Neurospora crassa OR74A: one gene and its partners. The protein of the gene in region 3 interacts with the protein of the main gene of each other region in a pairwise test. Links are inferred from orthologs where the notes say so. Each region holds a gene or a part of one and is shown on either strand. Other genes may lie near its edges. The genes, in order: NCU05313, NCU06708 and NCU10273.

Evidence for each region.
Region 1: the proteins of NCU10273 (region 3) and NCU05313 interact in binary tests that used the Saccharomyces cerevisiae proteins (3 or more experiments, as listed by UniProt). The link is inferred for Neurospora crassa OR74A from reciprocal best matches to the Saccharomyces cerevisiae genes SGT2 and FIS1.
Region 2: the proteins of NCU10273 (region 3) and NCU06708 interact in binary tests that used the Saccharomyces cerevisiae proteins (3 or more experiments, as listed by UniProt). The link is inferred for Neurospora crassa OR74A from reciprocal best matches to the Saccharomyces cerevisiae genes SGT2 and SEC22.

Annotation. Positions count from the first base shown.
Region 1 is NC_026504.1:5,368,882-5,376,271, forward strand, and holds NCU05313 (mitochondria fission 1 protein), read right to left. Parts: upstream 4,406-7,390; 5' UTR 4,124-4,405; coding exon 4,108-4,123; intron 4,028-4,107; coding exon 4,009-4,027; intron 3,940-4,008; coding exon 3,846-3,939; intron 3,774-3,845; coding exon 3,441-3,773; 3' UTR 2,815-3,440; downstream 1-2,814. Other genes in the region: NCU05314 (hypothetical protein), read right to left, coding at 1-771, 871-1,316, 1,368-1,520; NCU05312 (hypothetical protein), read left to right, coding at 4,764-4,790, 4,937-5,401; NCU05311 (hypothetical protein), read right to left, coding at 5,991-6,983. UniProt on the Saccharomyces cerevisiae protein: Has a role in mitochondrial fission. Has a role in outer membrane fission but not matrix separation. Required for targeting MDV1 to the mitochondria.
Region 2 is NC_026505.1:4,345,785-4,353,088, forward strand, and holds NCU06708 (protein transporter sec22), read left to right. Parts: upstream 1-3,584; 5' UTR 3,585-3,746; coding exon 3,747-3,780; intron 3,781-3,897; coding exon 3,898-4,517; 3' UTR 4,518-4,891; downstream 4,892-7,304. Other genes in the region: NCU06707 (uncharacterized protein), read right to left, coding at 153-343, 398-809, 872-1,465, 1,523-2,461; NCU06709 (hypothetical protein), read right to left, coding at 5,151-6,310, 6,524-6,758. UniProt on the Saccharomyces cerevisiae protein: Nonessential SNARE involved in targeting and fusion of ER-derived transport vesicles with the Golgi complex as well as Golgi-derived retrograde transport vesicles with the ER.
Region 3 is NC_026504.1:4,099,512-4,107,155, reverse strand, and holds NCU10273 (Hsc70 cochaperone), read right to left. Parts: upstream 4,054-7,644; 5' UTR 3,891-4,053; coding exon 3,888-3,890; intron 3,814-3,887; coding exon 2,780-3,813; intron 2,716-2,779; coding exon 2,655-2,715; 3' UTR 2,288-2,654; downstream 1-2,287. Other genes in the region: NCU08685 (phosphoribosylformylglycinamidine synthase), read left to right, coding at 1-2,112; NCU08686 (hypothetical protein), read left to right, coding at 4,769-5,377, 5,445-6,254, 6,324-6,839; NCU08687 (galactokinase), read right to left, coding at 7,378-7,644. UniProt on the Saccharomyces cerevisiae protein: Co-chaperone that binds to the molecular chaperone Hsp70 (SSA1 and SSA2). Regulates Hsp70 ATPase activity. Required for recovery from heat shock.

The DNA of each region.
Region 1 (7,390 bases), about 1.3 Mb from region 3:
GGAGGCGAGTGTGAAGTTCGGCGGGAGATTCCCTCGGATTGAGAGTCGGTACGCCTAATACCAGCCACGTTACGGATCCGCTCGAGGCGCTCTTCTCTCTCCTGCTCGCTGCGTCGAAGTCGCTCTCTGGCCGATTGGGCTTGTGATCCAAAGGGGTTAAGTGATTCAAAGGGGTTTCTTCCTGGTGCGGATGAGGACGCGAAGGCTGATGCAGAGTTGGTGCTGGCTTCTTGGCGTGATGCGGACGGTTGGCTGTTATTGTTATTGTTGTTGTTACTGTTGCTCCCGGATGGGTTGTTGCCCTCGATCGGCATTCGGCAAATAGGGCACGTGTTGTGCTCCTTAAGCCATAAAGTGACGCATTCCCCGTGGAACCAATGCTTACACGGTAGCACCGTGACCTCTTCTCCCTTGTACATGTCGTCGATGCAAATGGTACATTCGGCTTTACCCTCGGGGCCGACCATCTGCTCGTCGAGGATCTTTTTGGGTAATTTCTCAATAGCGGCTTGCGTTGCTGGAGGAGCCGCATTGGACTGCGGGTTAGCTTCCATGAGGGTCGTTATAATGCGGTCGAGTGCCTCCTGGGTATACACGGCATCGCCATGGACTGCCGCCTGTGGGTTCAGCAATGTCGCGATAAAGTCCTGCAGGCCAGTGGCAAATCCAAGAGGAGGCCCTCGTGGACCACCGCCTTGGCCCTGGCCCTGGCCGCCACCGGGGTCTTCTGCGCCCGGCGGCGGGATGTTGCCAAAGAGACCCCTAAACAGACTGCCATCACCGTTCGAGTTAGCCCTCCTATTAGTCACAACAATGATTGTGTGTCTGCGAATTCCAGGGAAACCATTGCCATGTCGCGAGCGAACATACGTGTCAAAAGCGGGCGCTTCCGGCCCGTCTCCCGCTGGGCCTCCTGCAGTTGTCGTGGTCGTGAAGGTAAAGCTAGCCATGCCGTCTCCTGCTCTGGTGAAGGTTGTACGTTGTATCCGCGGCTGTGTCCCAAAGGCGTTTCCCCCTTGCTGTCCCGGCCTCGCGCCGCTTAACTCGACAAACATGTCGGCGAACCGCGACAACACGGCCTCGCCAGGATCATCTGGGCGGGCACGCGGCCGGTCCGGACTGCTATCAAGATCCTCAAGACCGTTCCCACTTGAACGGTTGAAGGGACTATCTGGCGATTGGTACACCGATCGTCGCATGAAGAAGGACCCGGGGCCACGCTCGAGGAACTGCTCTATGTCATCTTCCTCCGGGTCCGAGTCTGAACGGTGACCTTGTTGTTGAACACCTGGTCGGGGATCGTTGTCAGGTTCGACCTGTACAAAGGTTAGCGTGGCGATAGCTGGACGGTAGATGGGAGAACCCACAATCTGGACGAAATCATTGTGACACCTGGGGCATTCTAGGTCCAGATGGGGGTAATCGTCACGATACCACTCGTTTTCGCAGCCATAGCAGTAGACGACTTCTCTACCCGTTGTCGCATCGAGATGCCTCGGGGGAAATCCGGGAGAGGCCATCGCCGTCGGTCGGCCCAGCAGCCTTTGGGTTGCGTTGTAAGCAGCAAAGGCGGCGAGCCCTAACTGGACGGTGAGGCCGATGGTTTGGAGCGCTCCTCGCAGGGCCAGTTTGATGTTTGATATCGGGGTCGGCGAGTGTTTCGAATGACGGAGAGGAGATCTCCAAGGATTATACAGTTGGCTTCGGAATTCAAGAAGCCCGCGCGTAATATGGCGAGGATACTAATTGTAGGTGGAGGTCTGGCACTTGAAGTACTAGGTGATGTAGGTTGTTTGAGTGAAGTGAAGTGAAGTGGCTGCCCCACTATGATGGAGTCGATGTTCTTGATGCAGCTGCTGTGATCTACAGCGTTGGCGTCCTACATTCAAGGATTCGCAGCGGCGACGGCATCAACGGGATGGAGCAGTCGCGCGGCACAACTTTAATGGACAGGTATCGGATCTTGCGCGTTGTCAAGGGGAATCTTCCGTCGTTCGAGGCTGTCGGCTCTTTTGTGGCGAGGGTTCTATTGTTAGGAGAAAAGGAATGGAATGGATGATGGCACAAGGTCGGTTTGTTGGAGAAGGTTCAGCCGTTTGCTAGATCGATGTAGGTGGTGTCTGTACCTGCCTCCCTGCCTTGCGCTGAGGTAAGATCCGACCGAGCAATAAAAGAGGGATGACAGCCATCCCATTGGACCCTGGGTATCGCTGTAACCGCTGTATTTGGTTAGGCCTCGGAAAGTCGGCGCAGGCCGGGCATGCGTCACAGCGTTACCTCTGCGTACGGTAATTTGAGACCAGGATGTATAATGGATCCTGGTAATTACCTAATTGTTCTTTTCCCTTCTTATACTCGCCACGGGTCAATATGGCCCTCACTCTTTTTTGTCCCTTTATATAGTTCACTGATGTATCTGTCCAATGTTGATGCTGAGACATACTGGATGTATTACAATGTTGCAAGTAGGTAGTCCTTTTCCATACTCATCCACGACCCGTGAATCATGAATCGGATGGGGTTCAAGGTAGAATATGGGCAATGTTTCATGTCACATTGATACTGCATTTCTTAACGGCCTGATGAGGGGAAGAAATGAAGTCTGCCCTGGGCTTCATTAGGTGCAGCATGGAAAGCCCAAGGGACCCGATTAAGCATGTCGCAGGTCGTTAACAGGAGAAGTGAGCCAATGTGTCGGCGTCGAGCTGCAGCCTGACCCTGAGACAAATGGTCCCGCATGCACGAAAGTGGGCTATGACCGGGGCAAGGCACGGCAAGGCACACATCTTTGAGGAGCAACAATGGTAGGGTACGGTATTGGGTGTATGTATTGATATATCGTTTAGTAACACGATTGATACCTCTAACGCTACAATATGGTTTTTGGAATGACAATGTGATACCAAGGCTTTCCAACATAAACAAAGCGAGAGGTACAGTAACACCGTCACGGGGTCTAAGCCTTCAAAGAGGAGCACCTCTGCGTTGACTGTTGTCACACCTGGCAGTTCTTCAAGGCTAGCGCCAAGAACTAACACCCGCGACGTCTTCGAGCATCCAATCTCTGGGATCGCTTCTAGATGCAGTAACCAAAGTCCACGCCGTCAAATAAAGCGAATTTAGGGCGTGAGCCGAGTTCGATTCAAGAAAGAGCATCTCCAGAGATGGAGTCTAACAAGCCAACAACAATCTAAGATAGGTAGTTGGGGGAAGTGGGGGATGTGAACCAAATAACCCATGTCTTATAGAAAGGAATGTCTGTAATCCAGTTATCGGGACTTTAAAGAAGGAAAAGAGGATTCAGCTCGTCAAATCATAGCCCATAATATACACACCGGACCCTGTTGTCCCATATCGTCATCAAGGAGCGGCCTTTTCTGCCCTTTCACCTTGTGCCATATGTCATCATCCATCAGGCGACCGGCTCACCCTCCTACCCACTACCTCTTGCGGCCCAAGTTCCTGAGCAAAACGCCTCCTATGACACCGGCGGCAACCGCCACACCACTAATGATGGCCACTCCCATCAAGCCCTCCTTGGTCACCTTGTCGTCAATCAGGGCTCGGAGGTTGGCGGCCTGGAGGTTTGCCGGCTCGTTTTCTAGGAGGGCGTCGTTGTATTTCCTCGCTTGCGCGTAGTTACCGAGCTTGTAGTTGCCGAGGGCGAGGTAGTATAGGCATTCGCGGCGGCGCTCGGGCGATGTTCGGAAGATTTCTGATAGCAGCATGACACCGAGGTGTTGGTCGGCTCGTACGTTGGACTTTACTAGGCCCTGTAGCATTTCGTAAAGAAGTTATTTAGTTTATATTTCTTTTCAACGGGAATCATGGGTGTTGGTTCGTACCCATGCGTAGTTGAACTTGGTCTGGACGCCAACCATCTCTCCCTCCTTCTCATATTGCGCCCGGAGAACATTGAGCTCGGCGGGGTTGAGCGGACTGCATCGTTATCGTCGTTGGTTAGATGACTCGGCGATCCTGGGGCGATTGTGCAACTCGGGGACTCACGTTTCCGCATCCACTGCATCTGTAACCACGGATGTTAGCTACCTGTGCCAAGCTTGGAAGAACAATGAAAACGAGTCCCATGAGCTGACCAGCACCTACAGGGAAGTTGTGTCATTTTGACAAGCTGGGTGTATTTAGTTGAAGGAACAAGAAAACTGGTATCCTGAATAGAAGTAGGTATATGGTCGTGAATTGTGCGGCAGCGGGCGACTCTGGTATCTCGGGTTTGTAGGTAAGGTAGGTAGTGGTGGTGTGAGACGGAGGTGGACAGCAAGGTTCTGGAATTACCAGGTTAATGATAGCTGAGAGTGCCGCCAGTAGTTTTATCGCGTGGCTGGAGCTCTGTTTAATGTGCCACCGATGACGAACGACACTGGGGAAACCCACTGCAGCATGCCCGATCCTTGACCGGTGATAGCCCGAGGTCCCGTCCCCATGTAAATCTGCGATAAGATAAGGGAATGTCCCACTTCAGGTCCTGTTGCGGCTCCTGTCCCGCTAGGTCCCGTCGTCGCCCAGGATGAATGGGTCCCGCTGTTGTTTGGTTTGGGACTCGACAATTGCGACACAACAACAAACCATTCGCGACCTCGAGTTCGTTCGCGAACAAACACTTTTCTACAACAACAGAAACTAAACGAGCACACTTTTACCGTCACGGAACTCATAAATTCAACTCGATCGCAGAAGCAAATATTTACATATACCCGAATTAAAACAGAACACCAACCTCAAGTCAAACTAAACCTGCCAAAATGCTTCTCGAAGAAGACCCCTCCACCGTAAGCTTCCCCGTTCATTCTACATCACTCCAACCTACCAAAGAACCTCCCCCTCTTCATCTCCCTCTCTTCCCATCCCCCTTACCCACCCCTCCCTCTTTCTTTCTCTCTATCAACCACCCACTAACCCCCTCCCTCCCTTCAAGCTAATCGCCCACACGACCCAAAACTTCAACATCACGCCCGACCGCCACGCCGTCTCGCGCGTCGCCGAATCACTTTCCACGCTACAACAAGCGCGCGACCTCCGCCTGCGCGAATCCGAAACCAACCTCAAGAAACTCGCGCGCACCCTCAACACCTTACAGTCCCAGCACCAAGAAGTCACGTCCTCGCACAGTTCCGCCGAGCACGCCTCGTTGATTTCCCGTCTCGACACGCAAAAGTTCCGCGTGGCGAAAAATGTTTCAGATCTAGAAATGGAGACGGAGCGACTACAGACGCAATTGGCGGAACTACAGGCGCGGTTGCAGGAGTTGGAGTTGCAGGGGGTTGATGGTGGTGATGCTTCTGCTGCTGGTGGTGCCACATCGACGGGAGAAAATAATGGGAACGGCAGTGCCGGGAATGGGGGCCAGGTCAGGAGCGTGGAGGATGAGGTGTTGTTGTGAGGTTGAAGGTGTATAGGAGCTTGGGAATCGAGATTGAGAGGGAGGAGCAGGATGGAGGGGAGTTTACGAGGGCGGTGGTGCGGAATGATAGGCGGGGGGATGTGTGCGTGGTTAATGTGGACCGGCATCGGTTTTCGAGGTTCTTTTATGCCAATTATTTTTGGCAGACGTTGTAGGGGCGGTTGCTTGGGGGTAATGTGAGATGGCTGGGGATGGGGTATGATGGGAAGGTTGGGCTAGGATGAGGTTACGGACGCTTGCGAAAGGGATATGATGCATGGATGGATGGGATCGGCGTCTGGAGGAGTTTGGGTGGGAATAATACCATGTCATTATTTTGTTGTTTCAAAACAAGTCGGATTTCTTAGCGTGATCATATTGAAGTATGTTTTGCTTTATTATCGCTTTTCGCTAATACCCAGACGTGTTCTATCCTTGTAACTTGTCATAACAGTGTCTGTATCTGTTTAACGAAAAAAAAAAAAAAAAAAAAAAAAAAAAAAAAAAAAAAAAAAAAAAAGGGGCCCTGGTTACGTATACGAACATTGTCCAGATCAGCAAAATTAGACAAACATAACATGACAATTATTCACGCCGTAGGCCTCCACTTCCCTTTCTGAGAAGTGAAACCCGCAAAGTACTCTTGCTCCTTCTCCCACATCCCCATACCCATCGGCGACACCCCGTTTCCATTACGGTGATTGTTCCTCCTATCCCCCGGCGGCAGCGCCATCTTCGATATGCTTCCAAAAGCGCTCTTATTCGCCCTGGCGCCCGTACCATGCCAATTATTCGTTTGCGCCTCGGCACAATGTCCCGATCCAGCTGTGCCATTTCCACTTCTCAAAGTCCCCTTTCTACCATTAGTACTTCCCCCCATCCAACCCGCCTCCAACGATTGCGACGGCCCAGCACTATGCGATCGATGGCTCAGACTGTGGTGGTACCGACCCACAAAGCTGGAGCACCTTTCCATCGGCAGTTCCAGCCGTGAGTTGATGTTCTGCCAGGCGTCGTCGTCGTCATTGCTGTCGTTCAGTCGCCACCCGCCTACTCCTTCAAAGTCTCGCTGGATGCCGACCGAGGGAGCCAGCCCGCCGGTCTCGGGCAGAGGGGGAACCATCTCGGCGTCTTCCCGGATGGAAGCGATGGTAGGCGAGATGGATGCTTGACTAGAGCGGCGAGAGCGACGAACGGTGCCAAAGCCGTAGCTGCTCTTGCGGCGGAGAGGACTCCGTTGGTGGGAGTCGTAACCGTTGTAGTAGTAAGGGGAGGGAGAGACGACGGCTAAGGGCGAGTTGTCCTCACTATCCCCGGCGGCTCTGTTTCCGACGCTGCCTGTGCTACTAGAGGATAGACGGCGTGGAGTAAGAAGTTCGCCGTCAGTGACGCTATGGTAGTGACGGCCTTTGATGAACTGGGGGACGAATGCCATGGCTATGTCGACGTAGACGATGGCTACGCGGAACATGAGCAAAGAGAAGGCGAGGGCGGAGGTGATACTCGCGAAGATGGCCATGGGAATGGTGAAGAGGCAGAGGAAGGGGACAACGAGTCCATGGACGGGGTTGAGGAAGGCCATGGTGTCTGTGCGGGGTGTTTGCGGTCTGTGGCAACAGATGATGTTGAGGATGTCGAAACCCTGGAGTGAAGGCCTCGGTTTTCTGGTTTGCGTTTTGACGGCGAGTTGGAGAGTGAGGTGGGAGGGGGTCTATGAAGCTGTATAAGGTATGCAGCTTATTGGATTTTCTTGCAGGCGAGGGGCATATCTGCCGCTGAGACCAACATGCCGTGCGTGCGCTTGGAGCACAGTTCCCTTGGTTATCTTGTTCCCTGACCCGAGGTTGTGGCACTGAACTAGTACAGTTTGAGTTTACGACTTGATAAGAGTTTGTTATTTGGGGGAGATTTTGTCTAGGCTCCGAGGGCCATGACGGATGTAAAGTGTAACGGGCTTGAAGTGCGCAAGACGGGGAAACGGAGAGTGAA
Region 2 (7,304 bases), on a different chromosome or scaffold from region 3:
AAGTGACTGAGATCTGTACATCCTTCATAGTTGGGGTGGTATATTAATTACTGGTAAATACGGCGGTGCTTCAAAGTCGGGACCCGTCATAGACAAAGATCGGAATACGTCTTCCTCGCTGGTATTCTGTGTTCTATTGCTTTGCAGAAGCATCAATCAACCTCGTGTGGTACTTCGAACCGTAGTTCAGTATACCGTGCCCCATTCGTATTGGATTCTTCAAGGCCGTTAGGGTGATAATCAGCGATATGGTTCGTATTCGTCTCGGCCATAACAACAGATGCTGTATCGGCAGGAGGTACTTCTTGTATCACTGAAGCGCTCTTGATGCGTCCAGGAAGAGCTGGCATTCGATTAGTATCAAAACATTGTCATCATGTGCGAACATCAACTTTACCCTTATGCTGTTCCTTTGCTATTGCCTTGTTCTCGGACACTGCTACAGCATCTGCCGCGAGCGTCTCATTCTTACGGCTGGTCTTTTGGAGCAACTCCGCTGGTATCTTTGTTGCCCAGTCGTTCTCAAACTCCTTTATCAGAAAATCGTCATAGTCGCCTCGTTTGTGCTTTTCATGAGCGACCCAGGCCTCCTGAAGCCATTGTTCATCATGTCGACCCCGCTCAATGTTTTCAAGGTACCGAGCACAATCATATCTGAAGTGATCGTTGTTGCGCAAGGAGACAAGATCCGGTCGGGCAATCTCGGTCCCTGGGTCCAAGATATGGCTGTCGTCGGGGAATTTAGCGAGGATGTCTTTCCTCTCATCTGGTGTCAACACATCCCATGCTCGTGGAAGCAGCAGAATCGCCTATGGTCAAGTGTCAGATCATGGATGTGGGATAATTTTTGTGAGAGGGAAGAGGTACGAACTCTGAGATCAGCATTGGTAAGAGGTGATTTCTCATCGGTATAGACGAAAGGTGCTTCCCACTTTCTGTCCAGGTTTGTTTTCTTTGGTGCATCTCCGGCATGTCGTGGCCTTTTAGTAGTGCTAGATTTGTCCTGGTCCGAGGCTTTACGCTTTCCGAGCTCAGTACCCAGCTGCTCATCACTGCTTCCAGAATGACGTGTAGCTTTCGAACTCCATGCATCGGTTTTAAGGACGGCTTCCTCTGGCGTTTGCCCACTTGCCCTTTTGCGTGCCCTTTTCGTCACTGTACTTGGGTCCTCATTTTTCGGACCTTTGAAGCCCTGTCCATTGATCGAGGAATCGGCGACTGTTGCTGCTTTAATTGCCGGTGTGGCGATTTCCTTCTCAACTTCCAGGTCCTGTACTGCCGAATCCGCATGCGCATCCTGCGGACTCAAAGCTTTTGGCTCGCCTACATCCGCTGGAACGGCCTCAGCCTTGAACGAAACTGAGCGAGCCGCTGCTGAAACTCCTTTTCGCGGCTGTTCAAAAGCATAAACACAATGCGTGCCAGATCCAGAACATCGTGAGCAGATTGGCTTCTCTTTTAGGCACTATCGCAGCTGTCAGACACAAAAACAATCGGGGAATATCCAGAGTTTCCGACCAACCTTCAGCTTGTTCTCACGGCAAGGAGTACACGCGCCCCTCGTCAGTTTTGGTTTGAGGATATTGCGTGAATCAGCCACACCCTCTTTAGAACTGACTGCTTCAGGCAATGATTTTCTCTTCTTGGGAACGGAACTTGGCGCAGCTGATGGAGCAATTGGTTCTTCTTCACGTGTTGGAACTTCTGGTTTATTGACTGATCGTAGTTTCGGTGGTGGGAGATTTATGGCGGCCCAGGATGTAGACCCTTTCTCTTCTGGTTGCTGAGCTTCTAACTGATCAGATGGTCGAAATTCTGTCTTGTTTTCAGGGCAAGCACTTGGTGCCGCCAACGGCGTGGCCGGTTCTCCTTCAGGTTCTTCAGGTCCTTGAACCTCTGGCTCCTTGACATATCCTTGCTCGACTGCTGGCTTTTTGGCCGCTGGCTTTTTGGCCGCTGACCTTTTGGTTGCTGACCTTTTGGCCGCTGACCTTTTGGTTGCTGACCTTTTGGTTGCTGTCTTTTTGGTTGCTGGCTCCTCGACTGTTGGTTCCTCGACTGTTGGTTCCTCGACTGTTGGTTCCTCGACTGTTGGTTCCTCGACTGTTGGTTCCTCGACTGTTGGTTCCTCGACTGTTTGTTCCTCAATTGCTGGTTCCTCAACTGCTGGTTCCTCAACTGCTGGTACCTCGACTGCTGGTTCCTCGACTGCTGGTTCCTCGACTGCTGGTTCCTCGACTGCTGGTTCCTCGACTGCTGGTTCCTCGACTGCTGGTTCCTCAACTGCTGGTTCCTCGACCGTTGACTTTTCGGCTGCTATCTCCTCCAAAGTCACCTGCGCAGCAGTATCAATCTTTTGGACAAGGATAGCATCCCAGTCCCCACTCACGCTCCGGGGAGGTGAGGCCGGAGGAGAAGAGAGGACGGAGGACAGCGGAGAACTACTTCCTTCTTCAGCCATCCTTCAGGACACCTTCAGTTAGTCGCCTTTCTGGAAAGATAATTATTGCGTGTTGAAGTTGTTCAAGGAGTGATCGAACGCGGCAGTGTGGGTTTGCCGGCAAAGGAAAAATTACCGTCAAGTCAGATCTGGATCTAGACAGATCCGGAACTACTTAGTTGTTGTGATATTAAACAATACCAGATAGCAGAAACTGGCAGAATGGCGCCGTGAAAGTCACCGTTTGTCTTTCGTAAGTCAATGATGGTTCATGCGGCCAATATGGCTGTGGTTACATCTGCGAACAAACTGATGTCTGGTGGAAGGGAGGGGAGAAAGTGGGGGGTTTATAAAAGTAGAGAATGAGATGCGTTCAGGTGAAAATGTGGTCAACGAAACGAACCGAAGTGGTACTACCTTGAGTACAAGTTGACGCGCAAGGTTGGGAGGATGTGCGAGGGAACGAGGTGGAACTGAACTTGATCTAACCACCACTCTGAACTGGGAGGGGGATTATACTGACTGTGATGAATGATAGGTACCTCTAGGTAAGTAGGTAGATATTCCACCTCCAGCTCCCCTTCCCCGATGTTGTTCGGTTGAAGATGCTCCTTCTTCAAGTCGTTGTGTGATGGACAGGATGGGTGGGGATGGAAGCTGAAAGGCGCCAAGCCCGGGCAGCCACTTGCATGACACACCCCGGAAGCTAGAGGTAGCTTGTACATACTGCATAGTAGGCGTGAATAGCGGGCCGGGCGAGACTGCCTGCTCGCACTATTTAACTACCTAAACAAAACTAACTTGCAGGCCCTGCAGGGTGAACTTTCAACACATTTCCAGCGGCAGTACCGTCATCAGTGTCCCGTTTGACGACTTGTAATCCTTGATAAGGAAACACACGTTGGCCTGGCGAAATCATTGCATCACTCTACCTACGGGTAATGTTTTGTTTTCTTTATATAGCCATGTAAAGAAAAAAAAAAAACAAGAAAGAGGATAGCGAATTACAATCTGGTCTGCTGGTCGACAGGGAAAGAAGCATGCAATTGAACAAGAGAATTCGTCGGTGCGAGTTGGTTGCGGTACCTAGGTAGAAGCCACGTACCTGGCTGCTTTTGACGGATCACTCCCACTCGTCATCACAAGCTTTTATAAACCTTGCCTTGTTCACTGTCCTCTCCAACGACACCAACTTAACAAATCCAAGCACGCAACTGAACTGGCCTTGATTTCGAGTTGCACAACGATACTAAAGGTCGCCAAAAACAACACAATGAAAAAGGAGTGATATAACCTATTCTTCACAATGATCCGCTCAACACAAATTGCACGGCTGGATGGTTCGTGCCCCCCCCCCCCCCCCCCCTAACTAACCCCCTCGACCAACATCTGTGTGCCTATGGAGATGTCAATGTCTTGTCCGGTAGCTAACCAAGACCCCTCCCCTCAAAACACAGGCCTCATGCTCTGCGCTTCCGTCGACGACGAAGCAACTGAATCCTCCCTCAGCGAAGTCAAGTCCCAAGTCAAACTAATTCTGCGCCGCCTAACGCGCACCTCGGAACCGCAAGCCAGCATCGAGAGCGGCTCTCTCTACACGCTGCACTACCTGATTCAGTCCGACATCGTATACTTCGCCATTACGGACCGGTCGTACCCGCGCAAGCTAGCCTTCACCTACCTTTCCGACATTGCGGGCGAGTTCGCGACGACGCACACCCCGGCACAGCTCATGAACCCGACGCTGCGGCCCTATGCCTTTATGGACTTTGACAGCTTCATCAGCCGCACCAAGGCGACTTACAGCGACACGCGTGCGACTCAGAACCTGGATAAGCTGCATGATGAGCTTAGGGACGTGACCAAAGTCATGACCAAGAACATTGAGGATCTGCTGTACCGCGGCGACAGCCTGGAGCGCATGGGCGAGCTGAGCAGTAGGCTGAGGGACGATAGCAAGAAGTACAAGAGGGCGGCTGTTAAGATCAACTGGGATTTGCTGCTGAAGCAGTACGGCCCCTTTGCGGCGGTCGGTTCCATTATCATCTTCTTCTTGTGGTGGAGATTCTTCTTTTGAGTGCATCCCAGGCAGGGAGCATCACCGGTAGCGGGTTAGCATGATACCGTCGGGTGGGTTTCCTCAGTCAGCCTGGCTCTGTATGATGCTGTGACGGATAGCCTACGTGGATTCTGTAATTATTTTAATATGTGTTTGTAGGGCATTGGTTTTTGGCGCTTGACCTAGCATGGAGTTTGGGTAAAGGAGGTTGGGGGGAAAGGGGGGCAAACGCAAAAGGACGTTTGGCCAGGTGAGGTTTCAGCTATCAAGACATGTTGCTTATAGGTTCCTGCTTTCCACTCCTTCATCCGATGCCTTCCTAAAGCCTGACAAGGTCTCTATGGATGACTGTACCACAGTGTCACCGATGCTCAATCATGCGTATCTCCTGGTTCATTCCAGACCGGCATCTCTTCTGCTCGACACGCTATTTCTGTCAAGCGATGATACAAAATCTCCATCTGAGATAGCCTATCGGTCTCTTTCCCTACTTGAAGTAGAAGCTCTTGCCCCCCCAAACTCCAATTCCAAACCCGTTTTTTTTTTTTTTTCTTTTTTTCAATTTTGTTGTTCTCAATCCAGAACATAAACCGACACCCTGGACACTAAGCCCAAGCTTGAACCACCCGCACACGCACCCGCAAGCCTCAATCACATAATCAAACAACTCCCCGCCGCCTTTGGCAATAACGCCGGTATACTCGGCACCGGCAACGCCGTATGATACCATTCCAAATGCTCCTGGAAGCTGGCCAAGTCCTCGAACCCCCTCTCGTCCTGTGCCCACTTGACCTCGTCCTCGCTGTCCTCACCCTGGTCCACGTACGTGTATTCGTCGCAGTAGGGACACCATATCCTCGCCAGCCAATCGCCAGGGACGGGGGCAATGTGGTTCGCAATTGCTAAGGGCGCGAAAACGACCGTCTTAGCTTCGCCTGTTTTGGCGCTTACGCCTTGGGCTTGCCAGTGGGGATATGTGTTTTCTGTTGCTGTTGTTGTCTCTGTCTGTGCTTCTTTTGTTGTTGTGGTGGTGGTGGTGGTAGTGATGGTTGACGATGGCAGAATTGCTGCTGGATATGAGGCCGTCACTATGGTCGGTAGTATGAGCTTTCTTGGAGAGTTTCTCGCTATCGTCGTTGATGTCGGGAAACTTGCTGTCGTACTTGCACTCCCTCCATTCGTCTTATCCAACGCCGCCCTCGTAGATGGCATCCTCTGTAGATCCGGCCAGACGATGAACCCGTCGCAAAAGTCGCATACAAAGGCCACGTCGTGCTCCCCAAACCTCTCGAACCTCCCAACCGCGTTGCAACATGGAACCAGATCCTCAAGGCTTAGCCTCCTCCCCCTTCTCAACGCCGGCCGTAATGCCTCGTCCGTTGTCCCTGTACGGTTTTGTTGTTGCTGTTGTTGTTGTTGTTGTTGCTGCGGATGCTGCTGATCTTGATACTCATGTCGTTGCCACGGCGGTATACTTTCGAGGTCCCTCTGCTTGCTTCCCCCTTCCCTAATCTCCTTTTCCCGCTTCTCTTCCTCCTTCTGCTTCCGTAGCCGCTCAGTTTCCTCGTTTCTTCGCTGCTGGCGATACACCTGGTAGGCACCCAGACACCGTGTCCACGGCCCTTCCTGCTCGGCCGCGAATATGCGCCGAGAGGCACGGCATTGCGTGCGGTGAAGCTCTAGTTGGAGTTCCTTGGTCTCGCTGAGCCAAGTTGGGTTGATCGGCCCACCTTGCCGAATCCAGTCTTTGTAGTTGCGGGCGTGGAATTCATATTTGACCAGGAGGGCACGCAATTCGTTGAGGGACTCGGCTTTTTGAGAGGGTTAGTTGGTAGAGCAGGCAAGGAGAAGCTTTATCTGAGTGGGATTTTTGGGAAGGAAAGGAGTGATGATGATGGTGATGGAGGCGTGTGAGTGAAAGTGCCAGGCGAAATAGTCAGCCACCAGCAGAGGAAAGATGACGTGAGTCTGAGAAAGAGCACGGTGAGGGTCAGAAAAGATTCAAGATATCATGGTATACTTACGAGTCCTGTCTCCTTCATAGTAAAACTGCCCATTGACCAAGCGCCCCAGTTCCTGAAAATCTGTCTTTGCATCATCCAACGCTTCTTCAAGGGCGCGAATCTGTTCAAACTCGTCAGGGCCCCAGTGGCGCTTGTCGGCAAATCTGAGTGCGCGAAGTGAGTCGCTCAAGTGAGTCGCAATGCTGGCCAACAGCGACCCGACCGTGTCGTGATTCGTGCTGGGACCTGTACTCATATCTTTTTTTGGCGATGGTTGCTTTGCTGGCTATGACCTCTTGATATCGGATCCCCCTCCACCTCCTCCCGTTGATATCCTTTGTCTAAGCCGTTATCGTCGTGTCGTCGTGTTCAAGCGCTTATTATTGGCCTTGGTTCCCCTCGCCTAGCGTATGCTCAATGCCGCTTTAATAGCAGTAGATGACCGCGAGTGGATGTAGACTTGGACTACCAACGAGACTCTCGTCACTAACAGAAGTCGAGCTTGGGGGGCTTGTAGGTGAGACTATCCGTCTAGGAGGTAGGTATCTACGAATGCGCAGCGATGAAGTGTTGTCTTGCGTCGTCATTAAGTGGATACACCGAGCCCCGATCCGGTAGCTGTAAGTACGGATGAGCTGAAGAAGGATTTCATCACAGAGTTGGACATGTGAGAAAGGGGCCAGCCAGGGAACGAAACATCACATGGAAGGAAGACTCGGTCGCCCAGGAAGGAAATGGGGATGGATCAATGGATGTCGAATCGTCGTGCAACGGGGGTTCGGGGCCCGGGCGCTTGGATACG
Region 3 (7,644 bases):
TCGACTAGCGACGAAGATCTCCTCAGACAAGCCGTTCAGCGTGTCTTCTGGCTGCCATCTGTTGGCTCCAAGTCCTTCCTGATCACCATCAGTGACCGTACAGTCGGTGGTCTAACCGTGCGTGATCAGATGGTTGGTCCTTGGCAGGTTCCCGTTGCCGATGTCGCTGTCACCCTCTCCTCGTTTGGTCTTAACGGCGTCAAGGGTGGCGAGGCCATGGCTATGGGTGAGAAGCCCACTCTTGCTCTCATTTCTCCTGCTGCTTCTGCTAGAATGGCGGTCGCCGAAAGTTTGTTGAACCTTGGTGCTGCCGATATCAAGGCCGGGTCCCAGCGTGGTGATCTCAGGCGCGTCAAGCTTTCCGCCAACTGGATGGCCGCTGTGAATCACCCTGGTGAGGGTGCCGCTCTTTACGAGGCCGTCGAGGCCATTGGTATGGAGCTGTGCCCTGAGCTCGGCATCAGCATCCCCGTTGGAAAGGACTCGACCTCTATGAAGGCATCCTGGAAGGATGGCGAGGTCAAGAAGAGCGTCACTGCTCCTGTTTCCGTCGTTATCTCCGCCTTTACCACCGTTGAGGACGTTCGCACTACATGGACCCCTCAGCTTCGTCGCGTGGAAGAAGTTGGCGAGACTGTTCTCCTGTTCGTCGACTTGGCCAAGGGCTTCAAGGCTCTGGGTGGCTCTGCTCTTGCTCAGTCCTTCGGCGCGATTGGCCACGAGGCGCCTGATGTGCGCGATGTGGATCTCCTCAAGGACTACTTCGATGCTCTTGCGCAGCTCCACGAGAGCGGCGTCGTCCTTGCCTACCATGACAGGTCCGATGGTGGTTTGATCACTACTGTTGCCGAGATGATGTTCGCCGGTCGCTGCGGCGTCGACTTGACTTTGGACGGCGTTTCCAAGTCCGGAAGCTTGGCCGATCTTACCGATGCGCTCTTCAACGAGGAGCTTGGTGCCGTCTTCCAGGTTCGTGCCGAGGACGAGACCAACTTCAAGCGCTGCTTCGCCACTTGCGGCCCTCCTGCTGGCCTGATTCGCAAGATTGGTGTCGTTCTGCCCACTGCCAAGCAGACACTTGCCATTCGCTACGGCGAGGGCAAGCCCTTCGTGACCCTTGACCGGGCTGAGATGCAGCAGTGGTGGAGCAAGACCTCGTACGAGATGCAGAAGTTGAGAGACACCCCGGCGTGTGCCGACTCTGAGTATGCTGCTATCCTCGACTCTCAAGACCCCGGTCTCTCCTACACCCTTACCTATTCTCCCGCCGAGAACATCGTTCCCTTCACTGCCTCCATCACTGGCTTCTTCGGCAAGACGCCTCGTGTTGCCATCCTCAGAGAGCAGGGTGTCAACGGCTACGCCGAAATGGCCTTCGCCTTCCGTGCCGCTGGCTTCGATGCGGTGGACGTTCACATGACCGACATCATCAACGGCCGCTCGCTCGCCGACTTCGTCGGTCTTGCCGCCTGCGGTGGCTTCTCGTACGGTGACGTCCTCGGCGCCGGCCAGGGTTGGGCCAAGTCCATTCTGCTGCACGAGAAGGCCCGCGCCGAGCTCGAGGCCTTTTTCAACCGCAAGGACACCTTCAGCTTGGGCGTCTGCAACGGCTGCCAGATGCTTTCCCGTCTCCGGTCGCTGATCCCCGGCGCCGAGCACTTCCCCACGTTTGTGCAGAACGCCTCGGCCCAGTTCGAGGCCCGCTACAGCATGGTCAAGATCGAGGAAGGAGAGGCAACCAAAAACTCGGTCTTCTTCAACGGCATGGGCGGATCCAGCCTTCCTATCGTCGTCTCCCACGGCGAGGGCCGCGCCGAGTTCGACTCGCAGGCTGACTTCCAGGCGCTCACTGAGCAGAACGGTATCCCCATCCGCTACGTCGATAACCGCCTGAACGTCACGGAGGAGTACCCCTTCAACCCCAACGGCAGCCCGGCTGGTATTGCCGGTGTGGCCAGCAGGGATGGCCGTGTCCTGGCCATGATGCCTCACCCTGAGAGAACCATCATGGCTGGTGTGACGAGCTACGCTCCCGAGGACCAGCTTGCCCAGTGGGGCGAGTTCGGCCCTTGGTTGAGGATGTTCAGGAGCGCTAGACGCTGGGTTGGTTAAGCAATGATTTGATGGGACGATGAAACCGGACAAGACAGAAACAGGTACACGTAGAAAACGTCAGCAGAGATGATCAAAATAGAGGGTTGGAAAGGGATAATCAAGGGTTAGGGACATTCAACATTTGCGGATTGCGGAGTATGAGGGATGGTTTAATCAGCTGGATGGTTGACAGGGGAAAATGGGATTGTTTAGTGTTTTGTTGGGAATTGTATATAAGGTATGGGTGGTAGATTCAATACTCGAAATAGGGGCTAGTAGCCTGAGAGGCTCTTGAATACATTGATGTATTCGAAGTTCAAAATCGCAGACAAGTTGGGGGTCCTCGTGAAGCTCATGCATCAGCGCAGGGACCCTGTAGAGCACAAAAAGTATAGTTCAGCCTTTAAAAGGAGAGCATGAAATCCAATCGTAGACTAGACTCATGGCCTGCTTGTACACTGGACTCATACTATGCCAACTTGTTTTATTATACCTGAGCTAAGCGGGTAAAGAAATGCTGCAAGAATCATAAATCATCCCTCAACACTTCTATCAGCTCGTTACCTTCCGCCAGCACCACCGGCACCGCCAGCACCACCACCACCCATGAACGAGCGCGCCCTATCAATCTTGTTAGTGTGTTTGAACTCCCAGAAGCTAAGAAGAATCAAAGGAATAGACTTACAAATCGGCAATGTTGGGATCGTTCATAAGCGAAGACATGTCAGGCAGACCACCGCCGCCCTGGAACTGGTTCGCCATTTCCCTGAGACGGGGGTTGTTCATAAGGTTGGACATCATGTCGGGGTTGCTCATGAGGTTCTGGGCCATCTGGGCGAACATGGGGTTGTTCATGATGGAGCCAAAATCGGGCATGCCACCACCACCACCACCAGCACCGGCGCCAGCGCCAGTGCCCGCACCACCACCACCACCGCCGAACATGCTCGCCAAGCTGCTCAAATCAGGCATGCCACCGGCACCACCGGCACCGCCACGGGCGGCAGGCGCATCATTCTGAGCCTCGAGCTCCTCAACCCTCCTCTTGGCCGTCTCAAATCCCTTCTTCATGGCCTCACTACCGCCGTTGCCCTCGTACTCAATACCCTTCTGGTACGCCTCCATGGCGCCCTTAGCATCGCCGAGGGCGAAGCGCGCAAGGCCCAGGCGGCTCCACGCCTTGGTGTACTTGGGGTCGATGGCGACGGCGGCCTCGGCATCGGCGCGAGCGGACTCGTGGTCGCGCGCGGCAGAGTGGGCGGCCGCGCGGTTGGACAGGTAGACGGCGTTGCCTGGGTTTAGAGTGAGCGCCTGGGTGTAGAAGTCGATGGCGGTTGGGTAGTCCTTTTGGGCCATGGCGGCGTTGCCTTTGGACTTGAGGGATTCGGCTTGCTTCTTGTCTTCTTCTGTGGGGCCATTGCTGCTGGTGCTGGCCGCAGCAGGGGCGGCGGAAGAGGAGGAGGTGGTGGAAGAGGCAGAGGCGGCGGCGGGCTTGGTTTGCTTGAGCTTCTCGTAGACGGAGTAGATCTGGAGCAGGTTCTGGGAGCCGATGGCCTCGGTCACGGCGGCCTTATCGGAGGGGTCGACACCAAAGGCCTCGCCGATGCAGTTGACGGCAATGTCGATGTTGTCCTTGTCGTCGGCTTGGAGGGTGCCGTCGGTCAAGGAGGTGTTGAGGAAGTCGCAGATGGCGAGCGCGAGGCGCTGCTTTGTTGTCGTCTGTTTGAGAGGCGGAGGAGCAGGGTTAGCTTTCATCTAGTTCGAGGAAACGGAGGGAAGTTGATATGGCGTACCATCTTGTGTATGATGTGAGCGTTGTCGATCTAGGGGTATCTAAAAGAGAGAGAAATAATGTCGTGAAGTTTGAGTATTGGGTTATTTTGGTTGGGCCACGGGGTACCTTAAGAGATATGACCTGACAAGAAAGACGGATGCGGGCGGGCGGGCGGGCGGTCTGTACAATGGGGGAATGGGTAGGTACAGCACACTGGTCCGAATGGAGGGGATGGCAGAGGGGCTGCAACAGCGGGACGCTTCTAGAATTGGATGGGGCGGGCAATCAAACGCCCAATCGCCCAGTGTACAATATCCTTGCAGACGAGGGCAACTGCGGGGTCAGCGGCTGGCTTAAGCTTCTACAAAAAATGATGTGTAGTAGACGATGAAAGCCGGGCCCGGATAAGCATCGCAGCACGCGCTTAACTGTACAGATCCCCCACCACCAAAACCCGAACCCTTGGGGTTCCATTGCGATGCGCTCCCGGTGCCGTTGGGTGGAGCCTCGCTGATGTCACGCATGTGAAATGCACAACGCAACGCCCCGTTGACAGTCCGTCGCGGTTGCGATTGCGGTTCAAGACAGCGCCCTAATTTTTTATTCTTTTTAAAAAAAAACAGCCTTCACAGCTCGGGCTTCGCTCCCGCCTTCTATTAGGTTGACGGCGCTGCTTTCCACCGTCCGTCGTCCACTCCTTCTTGTCGGTACATACCTACTTATGTCTTCTCTGCGGATATAACAAGGCGGTCTGCTGACCTGAACCACGCCAGGTTCTGCTGTTCCCGCTGTCTCGATATTAATCCATAACCATTTCCACTGCTTGTATATTGTAGCGATAACGGCGACGACCACGACGGTTACCGAATCATTCCTCCCTCACACCCGACCAAGCCCAAGATGGCGACGCCAAGCACCAGCTCACGAGCCGGCCCAGACCCCGTACCAAATAACCTCACACGTTCCAACACAGACAACTTCAAGCGATGCTGCATCTGTTACGAGGATGAAGGCGAACACACTACCGAACCGGTCATCCATCCTTGTACATGCAGTTTGCCCGTCCACGAGACATGCCTTATACGATGGTACGAAGAGATCCAAAAGCGGAACAGCCGTGACGACGTGACTTGTCCGCAGTGCAAGGCTCCCTTCAAGGTCGAGGAGCCCTTTGACTTTGTCGTGGCTCTGCGCGATACGATACATTCGCAGTTCAGCAAGGTGTCGCCCATTATCCTCGCGTCCATGGCCGTGAGCGGTACCTTTGCCAGCTCTGCTACATACGGTGTTGTCGCTGCCTCCTGGTTTGCTGGCTACGAGACTGCACTCGGGTGGGTCGGCCTTCAGATTACTCCCGGTCAAGCTGTTGCCGTACCCGTGGCAAGAAGTGCGCGAGTAGGGAGAATAATGATGAGGCTGTGGTCGCTATCATCCATTGCTCCGGCCGTCGTCCTTAGTCGAGCTTTGCCGTTCCTGGCTAATTTCTTTTTTGTTCCATTCTCCGCCATGGTTTGTCAACCCTTTTCCTCATCCTATCTCCACGGTCGATGCTGACTCTAACCTTTCACCTCATCAGTACGGCTTGGCACTCATAACCCAGGACGATCACCCAACATGGCCGCCCTCACCCACGTGGGCAATGGTTATGATGCCTTATCTACATATGAGTTATATCAGATTCTACAATTACTGGCTAAGCCCGATCGACGATCGCCTCAACCGGGCTCTACGGGGTCTCGAAAGCAGCCTTCAGCCCATCGATAGTGCCGCCGGCGAATCCGAGGCCGGAAACAACAACAACAATGGAAATCAAGACCGTGGAAGCCGCTTCAGCATGTCCGATCTCCTAGACCTGGGCCGCACCGCTTGGATTGCCCTCATCAACCCCCCAGACCAGAACGAAGCAAATCTAGATGATCCTTGGGAACTAGGCGCTCATGCCGTCAACGATAACGATGGCTCCGACTTCGAAGTAGGCGCTAATGCCGTCAACAACAATGCCGTCAACAATAATGCCGTCAACGGTAACCATGGCTTCGACTTCGATGATTTCCTATTCTCCGACCTTCACCGTCCGGGGCCTCACAATGAGGAGATTCCCACTGCCATCGACGGTGCATCAGGTGGGCTTTGGGATGTGCCTCCACAGTATCAAGGCGTACCAATTGGTATGGTTTGGGAAGGGGGTCTACAACCACAACCACGACCAGCTCCACCCGAACCAGCACCAGCCCAAGCGGCACCAGCCCACGCAGCACCAGCCCACGCAGCACCAGCCCAAGCAGCACCAGCCCAAGCAGCACCAGCCCAAGCAGCACCAGCCCAAGCAGCACCAGCCCAAGTAGCACCAGCCCAAGCAGCACCAGCCCAAGCAGCAGAAGCCGAGGCTCGCATCCCGGCCCCAGCAGTGCCAGCGCCCGCGCCAGCAGCACCAGCCCAAGCAGCAGAAGCCGAGGCTCGCATCCCGGCCCCAGCAGTGCCAGCGCCCGCGCCAGCGCCCGCGCCAGCAGCAGCAGCTCCACCCCCACAGCCCGCAGCACGGGAAAGGAACGACGACGACCAAGACGGCGTGGAACTCCCCCTGGTTTCCTTCACCGATCTCACCAACAACGTAGTCACCTCTCTTCTCTTCCCCTTCATCTCGTACGGCATGGGCGAGCTTCTCCGCCTCTCACTACCGAGGTCGTGGACTTCCCCACCCAAGGCCATTGTCACGTCGGGGTTCTTTAGGAGTGGAAAAATCATGCAAGGAGGGCCCGGCGGTCTGCTGCAACAGAGATGGGGACGCAGTCTGGCTGGTGGCTGTCTGTTCGTGGTGATCAGGGACGTGTTTGAGCTGTATGCCAAGTACAGGAATGTGCAAGCGAAGAAGGCGCGGAGAATTGTGAGAAAAAGGGGGGGAGAAGGAGGAGGAGGACAAAGGTCTAATCGGAGGGCTGCTGGCGCTGGCGCTGGCACTGGTAATCAGTAGGACTTTGCCAGTCTCATCTCGCGTTCAAGGCGGGGGTGGTTTTGGTCAGTACTTGAACAGACGTGAATTTTTGGAAGAATAATGGTGTTGGGTGAGACGTGTTATTGATCCAGCGAGAAATTGGGACAGGTTGGGCGATTGGCACTATGCAGCGAATTGGGCCGTGGTCTGGGTGTGCATTTACATGGGTTTTGGCGTTACAACTGCTTGTTGGTGTCCTTTCTGGCCTTTGTATATATATGTTCCTCTGGTTTTCTTTTTTTATCCCCTCATGGTGAAATTGGTGAGAGGGGTTCACATAGCGTTTTTCCGTGTATATATTCTAGGACTGTTTGACGATAACCATGATAGCTATCATGGCTGTAAAGACACAAGTTGAGCGATCAATTACCAGGGAAATTGACTGGATGAAGAACACAGTCTTTTCGTCACTTTCCCCAACAGTCAGTGTATATTGAACTTTTAGTGGTTTCCCTATGTAACATACTAATTCAACCACAGGCTTCATAAGTAGTCACAAACCCCTATTCAGCATCCATCAAGCCAACCCTTCCTTCCCACCCAAATAAAGCGCACTTCCAGACCCCGGCTTACTAACCACCACTGCCCCCTCCCTCTGCTCCTCCGTCAACTCTAACTTGCTATAATACTCCCTCTCTAGTGCCTCCTTGACATTACTCACCTTGTCCGCCGGCACCAAGTGCACACTACATCCACCCCATCCCGCACCCGTCAACCGACTCCCGTAGCTGCCCGCCTGCCGAGCAATCGCGCATATCCGATCAATCTCCTCACATGAGCACTC